3 linked regions of the Saccharomyces cerevisiae S288C genome follow. The gene in region 1 interacts genetically with each later gene. Each region holds a gene or a part of one and is shown in the gene's direction. Other genes may lie near its edges.

What was found.
Region 2: mutations in YPK9 (region 1) and SPE2 together harm fitness more than expected from each alone (negative genetic interaction), as found in Saccharomyces cerevisiae (2 studies listed by BioGRID).
Region 3: mutations in YPK9 (region 1) and MUB1 together harm fitness more than expected from each alone (negative genetic interaction), as found in Saccharomyces cerevisiae (2 studies listed by BioGRID).

What each region holds. Positions count from the first base shown.
Region 1 is NC_001147.6:859,496-863,252, forward strand, and holds the start of YPK9 (putative acid anhydride hydrolase), read left to right. Parts: upstream 1-1,679; coding exon 1,680-3,757. Other genes in the region: SWI/SNF catalytic subunit SNF2, read right to left, coding at 1-763. UniProt on the Saccharomyces cerevisiae protein: Vacuolar transporter which plays a role in sequestration of divalent heavy metal ions.
Region 2 is NC_001147.6:231,789-235,428, reverse strand, and holds SPE2 (adenosylmethionine decarboxylase SPE2), read left to right. Parts: upstream 1-1,792; coding exon 1,793-2,983; downstream 2,984-3,640. Other genes in the region: GAL11 (Gal11p), read right to left, coding at 1-489.
Region 3 is NC_001145.3:464,248-468,004, forward strand, and holds the start of MUB1 (MYND-type zinc finger protein MUB1), read left to right. Parts: upstream 1-2,052; coding exon 2,053-3,757. Other genes in the region: YMR099C (glucose-6-phosphate 1-epimerase), read right to left, coding at 1-580. UniProt on the Saccharomyces cerevisiae protein: Involved in the determination of the onset of polarized growth. Required for the ubiquitin-dependent degradation of RPN4. Cooperates with UBR2 to transfer ubiquitin from RAD6 to RPN4.

The sequences.
Region 1 (3,757 bases):
GTTCGGATTGCTCGGCAGTAAACATTGTCATGGGTAATCTTCTCCCCTGTTGCAGTCTCGCTTGTGCTTGTTGTGCCTGTTGTGCCTGTTGCGCTTGTTGCGCCTGTTGTGCTTGGAATTGTGCCTGCTGCATCTGCGCCTGCTGGGGCATAGGAGAATTTATCTGCGAACCTGGCATCACATTTGAATCCTGTATGTTGTGTTCTTGTAATGATCGATTTTGCGGTTGAAGCTCGGAATTATTAAGGTTTAAGTTATTATGGTTTGAGTTATCTGGTTTCTCCGCAGCATTTTCTCCATTGTTTGCTGGTGTTGGTGAAAAATTAGTTGCATTTAATGAACCAACCGAAGATTGCCGTTGTGGTAGCATGTTATTACCACCATTGCTATTTAATGGCATCTGTGTTTGCATGATTGGTGATTGATGAGCAGAAGTGCTAAAGGTCTCATTTCCATTCAATTGCATATTCGGAGCTAAATGCGGGGAAGCAGAAGCAGAAATGTGCGAGGAAGCATTATTCGGCAGTTCTGCTTGATCTGAAGAATTTGGAACAATATTTTGCTGAGAACCTGAAATGCCTTGCTGTTGGCGTTGCATTTGTAATTCTTGTCGCTGCTTGGCAGCAAATTGCAACACTTTAGTCAAATAGATAAATTCCGGCACACTCGGAGCGTTCATTCCGTGTTCATTTCTCAAATGCTGCCATCTTAAATAGCAGCGGTTGACCTCTTCGTTGCTAAATTGACGCTGTGGTATGTTCATGGCAGATAATTAATCGAAAGTCGTGAAAATAGCAGAAAGTCGCGATTAGAGAAACAACAGAATAGCTGACCTTCCCGATGATTTATATACAAAAGGTCCACGTACGTCACAAATATCTTCTTTATTGAGACTAGAGGTAACCTTTCTTTTAACTTATTGTCCTACCGCCTCAGGATGGCCCCGTTTCGTCAATCAATTTGTTGATATTTGTCTTTCAAACGCGGTTTTAACATATCGCGAACAACGGTATTCGGGTAACAGCCTATCACTATTTTTACCGGCGGCTATTTTTCCTAAACCTAGTATATATACGCGAAAATTGGCTACCTGCAAAATTCCAATAGTGGCGAATGTATTGGAATTAATCTGCAAGGAAAATAAGCGTTAGGAACTTCAACTGTATTTTGCTCACTAATTCTTCTTCATCATGTCTTCTTCTTTTTTTTTCAATTACTTGTTAGTTCTTAGTGTCCTTATGTTCACTCAGAATAGCCATTAAGAATCGTGTCTTTTTGGAAGTGAAGGAGTTTCAATAAAAAGAAAAAAGCGAATATTTCAACACTGTGTTCTAAGAAAAGGCTCTATAGCTTTTTTTATTAGTTTTATTAATTTGAAAAATGCCTTGTTTGTTTTATATATATATATGTGTGTATTTAGGGCAGCCGCGGCCAACAGGGGGTATGGGTATGAAGAGGTGATAGAAGAGTGAAAAATGAAAAAAAATGGAAATCAAGGAAAGAGTAGTGAAAAAAAGAAAAAAAGGAAAAAAGGGCAAAAAGAGAACGCAATACCATAGAGTTGGAGGTGTTGGACTTGTGAATTTATTTTTGATTGAAAATAGTTCAGAGTCAATAGATTCTTCTTTAAAATAAAAAGGAGCCCAGACTTACTGATAGATCTTGCATATACTCCGGTAATGGATATTCCCTCTTCAAACCAAATTCAACATGGCCAAAGGAGTGAAAGGAACCGAAGAATGCCGAGGGCTTCTTTTTCTTCTACAGCCACTACTTCTACGGCGGCCACATTGACTTCCGCGATGGTACTGGATCAGAACAATTCGGAACCGTACGCAGGTGCAACATTCGAAGCCGTGCCAAGTTCTATTGTATCATTCCATCACCCTCATTCTTTTCAATCAAGCAACCTCCCAAGTCCGCATTCTTCAGGGAACCTAGAGCAGAGAGGCCGCCGATTGACTGAATCAGAGCCTTTAGTATTATCCTCGGCTGAACAGTCTCGAAGCTCTTCTAGAAACCCTTCTCATTTTCGATTTTTCACTCAGGAGCAAATATCCAATGCTGAAGGCGCTTCCACGTTAGAAAATACAGATTATGACATGGCCTGGGATGCCACCCCCGCTTATGAACAAGATAGAATCTATGGTACGGGCCTATCTTCCAGGCGTTCTTCTATTCGAAGTTTTTCCAGAGCATCATCTCTCTCAAATGCAAAGTCTTATGGATCTTTCAGTAAGAGGGGTCGCTCTGGTTCAAGGGCACCACAAAGGCTGGGAGAAAATTCTGACACTGGGTTCGTTTATCATTCCGCTACACATTCATCATCCAGTTTATCGAGATATACGACCAGAGAAAGAATTCCTATTGAACTAGAAAGTCAAACAGATGAAATACTAGAAGACGAGTCTTCTACACATTCTTTAGAATCTTCAGATAGTAGGCGATCTGCAAGCGAAAATAATAGAGGAAGCTTTTCTGGTCATGATGATGTTCATAATCAGCATAGCGAATATCTAAAACCTGACTATCATGAAAAGTTTTATCCACAGTATGCACCAAACTTGCATTACCAAAGGTTTTACATTGCGGAAGAGGATTTAGTTATTGGTATCGCTGCTTACCAGACCTCAAAATTCTGGTATATTATTTACAACCTGTGCTGCTTCTTGACTTTCGGATTAGTTTATCTTTTAACGAGATGGCTTCCCCATCTCAAAGTTAAATTATATGGCGTGAAAGTGCCATTGGCTAAAGCAGAATGGGTCGTGATAGAAAATGAGTTTGGTGAGTTTGTCATACAACCTATCGATCGACAGTGGTATAATAGACCATTAAGTACTGTTTTACCTTTTGAAAATTACCCTAATCCGTCATATGAACCAAATGATATCAATTTGAGCCACCACCATGCCAATGAAATTAATCCAAATGTGCCTATCTTGATCACATTTGAATACAGATATATTAAGTTCATATATTCACCGCTCGATGATCTCTTTAAAACTAACAATAACTGGATAGATCCTGACTGGGTGGATTTAAGTACCGTATCAAATGGTTTAACTAAGGGGGTTCAAGAAGATAGAGAACTTGCGTTTGGTAAAAATCAAATTAATTTGAGAATGAAAACTACTTCAGAAATTTTATTCAATGAAGTGTTGCATCCGTTTTATGTCTTTCAAGTATTTTCGATAATTTTGTGGGGCATTGATGAATACTACTACTACGCCGCATGCATTTTTTTGATTTCTGTACTGTCTATTTTTGATTCATTGAATGAACAGAAGAAAGTATCGAGAAACTTAGCTGAAATGTCGCACTTTCATTGTGACGTTCGTGTTTTGAGGGATAAGTTTTGGACAACGATAAGCTCATCAGAACTAGTTCCGGGCGATATATATGAAGTATCTGACCCAAATATAACAATATTGCCTTGTGACTCTATTCTTCTGTCCAGTGATTGTATAGTCAATGAATCCATGCTAACTGGTGAATCTGTGCCCGTTTCGAAATTTCCAGCTACGGAAGAAACAATGTACCAATTATGTGACGACTTCCAGAGCACCCAAATATCGAGTTTTGTTTCCAAATCCTTCTTGTATAATGGTACAAATATAATTAGAGCAAGAATTGCCCCCGGGCAAACCGCCGCTTTGGCGATGGTTGTAAGGACAGGATTCTCAACAACAAAGGGCTCCTTGGTTCGTTCCATGGTTTTCCCAAAACCAACTGGTTTTAAATTCTATAGAGATTC
Region 2 (3,640 bases), 630 kb from region 1:
AGTCAATTGACGCCTCTGTTGCTGCTGCTGCTGTTGTTGTTGTTGTTGTTGATTTCTTAATTGTTGCGCAACCTGTTGCCTTGCCTGAGCCTGCTGATTCAAGAACATCTGTGGGTTTAGATTCATATTGACATTCATATTATTGGCGCTGTTGCCAGAATTTTTCAAGTTGTTAATATGGTGCTGTTCCACGGGTTTAATGTTGTTATTAGCGGCAGCAGCAGTAACGGCGTTTTTCCTCGTATTGTACGTGTTGCGCATGACAGCAACTTTTTCGTTCATGCTGTCCATGTATTCTTTCTTTGAAGAGCTCTTTGCGAACAAAGCTGCCTCGAAGTTTTTGGCATGAATTCTTATCTTATCAGCAGTGTCGGAGCTCCCTCCGTTCAGAGTGTTAATGTCCATGAGCACCTGAAGCAACCCGTTGACGTTCTTCGCACGCTCGGCATTGGACAGAGTGTCTTTGTCTTGGACAGGAGCAGCAGACATAGCAGATTTAAAAGAAATAGCGTTTTAATCCTTGATCTTTGAGTACGGCACTATACGAAACGATACGCTTATAAAAATGGGGTTTAACTAACAAAGAAAAATATACCAGCACAAGTATATAGCAATGTCGTGGAAGTACTTCTTTGTGGAACCAGCTGTTTCCAGAGACAAATTCCTAGTCCTTGTGAATGGTTGACTATTAAAAGTTTGACTGTAAAGGTTAAGCACCTTCATCATCCTCATCCATAATATAATTTTCTGATCGACGCAACCGGGGCCGGGGTGGAAGGAAGGCCCGATTCGAAATAAAAAAGAGGCCGCCACAATGTAGGGTAATGCCTAATTATATTAACTAGAGACTGACTGAATCATATTACTTAGTTACTACTACTCTTATCATGCAAGAAGATGTGAAAAAGCGTCTTCCCCCAAATCATATAACTTCTGCACCATCCGTGGACTGTACAGGTTCAGCGGGGGAATATGTAATTGCTTGTTAGGATTGCTCTTGGGACCGTAGTATCGCGACAAGGAAGTCTGTGTAGTTCCACTTGATGTGGGCTGCCTCGCCGCTTCTTTTGCAGTCCCTAACCTTATATAGATGCGCACGCGCCAAAGCATGAGGGTACTCCATCATGTCTGTTGCACAAATATCGTAGGTTACTTGACGCTAACGTCATGTTTGATGCTCCGTTAACGAAGAGAATCGGAGCTCTTCATCTTAATCAGGCTCTTTTATAGCTCAATCATCAGTGGAAAAAATTCTTCGAACTAGAAAAAAATCAAGAAGTGAAAAAACTAAAACCGCCAACTGGCTACCCGGATAAGCCCCATAATGGCGTTCCTAGGGCTAGAAGAATTTCAAATCGATGACAGCTGATAGAAAGCGCCAGAGATATGTAGCCTTCCATCAGTAGTAATATCCAATAAATTGGGCACCATGGTTTGGCAATCAGGCTTTTTACCCTCGCCCTCTTTTCCTTCGCCTTTTACCTCTTCTGCATCCAATTTCAGCGTACGTACACAATGATTGACTTTGGAAATTTTCACTTTTTTCCACTCGAAGAAAAAAAATTCCAAACACGGTTCTCCGGTATTTAGGCATCGAATAAACTTTGCTAATCGACTAAAAGCATCTCTGCATATCTATACGTGTATATATTGTATTCGCTACAGCTCGCTCCTTGCATCAACTCTTTTTTTCTTTTTTTTCTTCCAGGTTAATCAATTACTGTACTGTAGCTTCTTTTTTATATTTTTTAGGTTTTCATATAGTGTCTTACGCAAATAGGCGGACCATAGAATGACTGTCACCATAAAAGAATTGACTAACCACAACTACATTGACCACGAACTATCAGCCACTTTAGACTCAACGGATGCGTTCGAGGGTCCCGAGAAGTTGCTGGAAATCTGGTTCTTCCCTCACAAGAAGTCCATCACGACCGAAAAGACATTAAGAAATATTGGCATGGATAGATGGATCGAGATTTTGAAATTAGTGAAATGCGAAGTTCTTTCCATGAAGAAGACTAAAGAACTGGATGCCTTTTTGTTGAGTGAGTCTTCCCTCTTCGTCTTCGATCACAAATTGACGATGAAGACGTGCGGTACTACAACCACATTGTTCTGTCTCGAAAAGCTTTTCCAGATCGTTGAGCAAGAGTTATCGTGGGCTTTCCGCACAACACAAGGGGGCAAGTACAAACCATTTAAAGTGTTTTATTCTAGACGATGTTTCCTTTTCCCCTGTAAGCAAGCCGCTATCCATCAAAACTGGGCTGACGAAGTCGACTATTTGAACAAATTTTTCGACAATGGTAAAAGTTATTCCGTGGGAAGAAATGACAAGAGCAACCACTGGAACCTGTACGTCACCGAGACGGACCGCTCCACACCTAAGGGAAAGGAGTACATCGAGGATGACGACGAAACTTTCGAAGTACTGATGACGGAGCTGGACCCAGAATGCGCTAGTAAGTTTGTTTGCGGGCCTGAGGCATCCACAACCGCTCTCGTGGAGCCAAACGAAGATAAGGGCCACAACCTCGGCTACCAAATGACTAAAAATACAAGGCTTGACGAAATATATGTCAACTCGGCCCAAGACTCCGATTTATCATTTCACCACGATGCATTTGCGTTCACGCCATGTGGATACTCATCCAATATGATTCTCGCTGAAAAATACTATTACACCCTGCACGTGACTCCGGAAAAGGGTTGGTCTTACGCCTCTTTCGAAAGTAACATACCCGTATTTGACATTTCCCAAGGGAAGCAAGACAACTTGGACGTTCTTCTACATATTCTGAACGTTTTTCAACCAAGAGAGTTCTCGATGACCTTTTTTACCAAAAATTATCAGAACCAATCCTTCCAAAAACTACTAAGCATCAACGAGTCACTGCCCGACTACATCAAGTTAGACAAAATTGTTTATGATCTGGACGACTACCACCTTTTCTATATGAAATTGCAGAAGAAAATATGAAAAGCCGCCATTTGTGTCTCCTCATACTTACATAGAATAGCCCTCTTCTATTATCCTTCGCTTGCTTTCTAGCACTCATAACTAATGTAGTTTAACCCGCTTGTATATCTTCTACATCATTACCCCGCATGCTTTTTTTTTTCCTCTAGAGAAAACCGGCACAGATTGGCCGGACCCGGAACAGGAAAAATGGCCACTGAAAATTCCTGGCCAGACCACCCCTGAGCTAAGGGAGTTTAGCCGCTCAAGCTTTTATTTCCTCTGATGTAATATATCACACACCCAGACACGGTTGCCAAGGCCTCGACGGAAGGCCGCTTCAAGGGACGGGGCAGTGGCTATCAGAAATACCTTAATATCATCAATATTTTTCATCAATCGCAAGGTGTCAAACATCAATAAAGGATGATGCTCAAAGGTTTATGCCCGATGTTCTTCTAATCCCCTTTCTCTCCTAAAATAATCCTTTTTTTACTCTTCTTCTTTTCCCCTGTTTCCATTTTTGTCTTTTCTCACCCCTTATGGGACATCAATAATGCAAGTATGTTTATACATTTTTATATAAATGTATATATAAATGCCATTTCTTACACATAACCTCCATTCTTTGGTTAATTCTTTCTTCATTCTTTTTTTTTTCATTCTGAAAAGCCCTCC
Region 3 (3,757 bases), on another chromosome or scaffold:
GGTGCTTGTCGACGTAGGATTCCTTCAACAGTTGGTCATAAAGTTTCATGCCAGCTAAATTAGAGACCATTGTTCCTTCAATATCTTCGATACGGAAGTATGTATGGAACAACCAGTTGAACTTTAATTCCTTGGAACTAGATGTGTTTTCTACTTCTATGGCAGTTTTCAAATAATCGGAGCCTAATTCAACAGTCAAAATCAAAAGATAATCCATTGGCCACAATTTGGTCAATTCTGGGTTAGCAATTTCTGGTTTCAAGCCAAATTGTACGGTCGGTGGGTTTTCCTTAGTTTGACCCAAAAACTCCCAAGTAGAATTTCTTGCAAGACCATGTTGAGGTAATTTACTCAAATGTTCATCGGTGCTATTTTTCCCGAATACAGGAAAGACCAAAGGTATACCACCTCTCACAGGTTTGCTACCATCCAATTTAGCAGCAGTAGACAACCACAACTGTTCTTCAGATTTCAATTTCCAAGAATAAACTGTAGCACCGTACTTTAGAATATGAACGCTGGTGGTCTCATCAGCTGGATGAGTCAAAACAACTTCTTTATCAGTTTCTTTGATAGGCATGGCTTTGTGTTTTAATCTTTCTTGGTTCAAGTTTTACCAAAGGCTTATAATGAACCTCAGAATCACCTCTTTATTCATTTCTAGGGACCTACTAAGTTTTCTTTCGGCGTGAAAAATAAAAGGCGCATTGGTGACCCCATTTGCGATACCTTTTTATGGAAAGACAGCTTGAAGAAAGACCTTGTTATCATTGACTGCGTCTAGCGAACGAGGACATCTACACACTATTTCTTCTGCTGCAATGATTGATGCCGTTTAGATGAATGGTCGGGACGTAACTTATGTTTTAAGAAGAAGGCACTTTTCCTGGTGCAATAGATGAATCTCGGTTTCAAGTTAACTATATAAATATGGGGTTGGCATTATATGTCATGCTTTATTATAATTAGGCATATAAAACTACATGGTTATGAAAGGCGCTGGCAGTAAAAGGGTTGTTTGTCAATGGCAAGAATTAATCATTCTCGCATTGAAATATATGTAGATCGAGGTGAACTGTTAGATGGTCCATCAGACATTTATTATTTTGACTTATGTATTTCCCTCTCAATTTTGTTATCAGTAATCGAGTCATGTGTACTTTAAAGTTCATATTCTCACGTTTTTCGCAAGATATTAGCCGCCAATAGCAACTCCGAATAATAAGAGCTATATAAAGGCCGTTGAAGCCCACGGAAAGAGAAAGAAAACTAATAGTTATTACAATATAGACCGTTGGTTTTTTCTTTCCCTCCTGGAGCAGCTGCGTATAGTTACTACCTAAGAAGTGGGCTAGAAGTTGGCTAGAAGTGGGCTACTTAATATATATCTTTGGATACATAGAAAGGAACCAGGAAAAAGGAAAATTATTTAGATGGCTTCCATAAGTTTATGATGGTTCAAACGGCAAAAAGCCTTTTGACTATTTTTCTTGGTTGAACTATCTTCTTATTAGGCCTACTACAACAATGCATCGAGCTAGGATAACAACTAGAATACTTTGGTTATGTATTGTATGGGTGTTCAGTGGCAAAATTTGAGAGTTGGGTTATTGATGGTCGGCCTATACAAACGAAAGACCTAGAGCAGCTCACAAGGAAGAAAGTGCTGGACAAACTTCCCTACCTGAAGAGAAAAATATCCGTTTTTTATATAGTTTCTGTAAGTGTGCACAGTGACTTCCTCATTAGAGCGATATAGATAATTTGAGACTTTATTTATTTTTTATTTTTGTTGGTTCTCATATTCAACCTTCCATTTATCTAAGTTGAACCATTAAACATTCCCTTTTTTACTTTGCTAATTTCATCATACCCATTGATCAACTATAAGTGAAACTTGGGAATCTTCCATTATACAAAGGTGAGGTCCCTATTTGTTGCATTTTTCAATTCATTTCCCTGGGAGTTTTTGTTTGTTTTTGCTATATTAACATATCATAACAGCGTATAGAACGTAATTTGAAATATTCAAAACAAAGAAAAGGTAAAGAAATGAGAGACTCTAATCATCGATCATTAACGTCGAACAAGCCTATAGTAACAATAACATCTACTGTCTATGACCGAAGGGCATTGGATATCAACTCTAGTATTCCGTTAATAAACTCCCTAAACTACTTAACATATCTAACCTCTAATTCATCAAAAGTTAGGGAAACGGTAGCTAACGACGGTGCTCTCGAAAGATTAGTCTCAATATTGAGGAGTTGTCATTTAAGTTTGTTTGAGTTGCTGGATTTGGATTTAGAAAATTTTAATGAGCACGAAAACATAAAGGATCTATGGAAGGAGAAAAGACTAGCACTATGCGCTTGGAAATGGACTTTAACATTTCAGTGCTTAGTATTGACAGGTACTAGAGGGACAGAACAAATTCGTAAAAAAGTGGTAATGTCTGGGGTCTTATCTGTGCTGGTCACAGTATTGGATAACTATTTACTATATCATAAAAATTACGACTTCATCAAAGATCAAACAATGACCTTTGACTTCAAAGGGATAACCACGGAGACAATGTATAAATTCATGAGAAAAGATGAGAATGAAACATATCAGCAGTATATAGAGTTCATTACAGGTCAGGATAAATTGAAGTTGTCAACTGACAAAAATTTTCTAAACGAACGATTAGTGGCACCGTCTATGACAATTCCAACTGATTTTAGTGATATATGGGGCCGGTTTGCAGACCTAGCTAGCAATTTTGAACCTGACCAGGAAAGACACGACGACGACATTGATATTGATAGTGAAGTAGAAAGTGAAAATTTTGATGCACATAAGAATTTCTTTTCGCAACCAGACATTAATAGACCTACAATTTCCACTCCACGTGAATTTTTTCTCGGAAGAATTGTCCCCAAACAAGACGACGTTATATGGTCGCTTCAGTTATTAGCTTTTGTTTCGAAGTATACATATATGAAATCAACCCTTCAAAATGTTGAGCTGGTTGAATCCCTATCGTTCAGAAGTATGGCTTACAAAATTAAACAGAGAATCTCAGAAGAGAATGACTTAGAAGAACAAGAAAGAGACGTAACTGTAAAATTGTCTTCATTATATCCTTATTTATCGAAAAATCCTGAAAACAATTCCAAAGTTAAGGCACTAGATACTAGCAAAATGGATCCATTTTTCAAAGAATTAGAAGAACTCTCAAACAGATGTCAACAAGAAGAACAAAATGAAATATGTAATAACCACTGTCCCGTTCTTAATTTGTTTGAGCGCTACCGTGTACCGAAACCTAGCGACGACAATGCCTATGGCAAAGACAAGGAAAGAATTAATTTAAGGAAGAAAATATCTGATAACTTTGAAAGGCGCTGGAGCTACGATAAAATGAAAAAGGAATTAACAAATATTGTTTACAAAAACAAGGTACTAACAAATGTTGTAAACATCTTCCCCTTAGTCGAAAAATATACAGTGAGCGCAGAAAATACACATGATGTTATATATTGGAGTTCTGTCATCATGAGAAATTCATGTCGAAAAAATGAGATCTTAGGTGTGCGTCAGTGTGCCAATTTTTCGTGCGGAAAATGGGAAGATTTTCCAAGACAATTTGCAAAATGTCGTCGATGCAAAAGAACGAAATATTGCTCACGAAAGTGTCAATTAAAAGCATGGGGATATCATAGGTATTGGTGTCACGAAGTTGGATCAAGTCATATGAGATCCACGAATACTA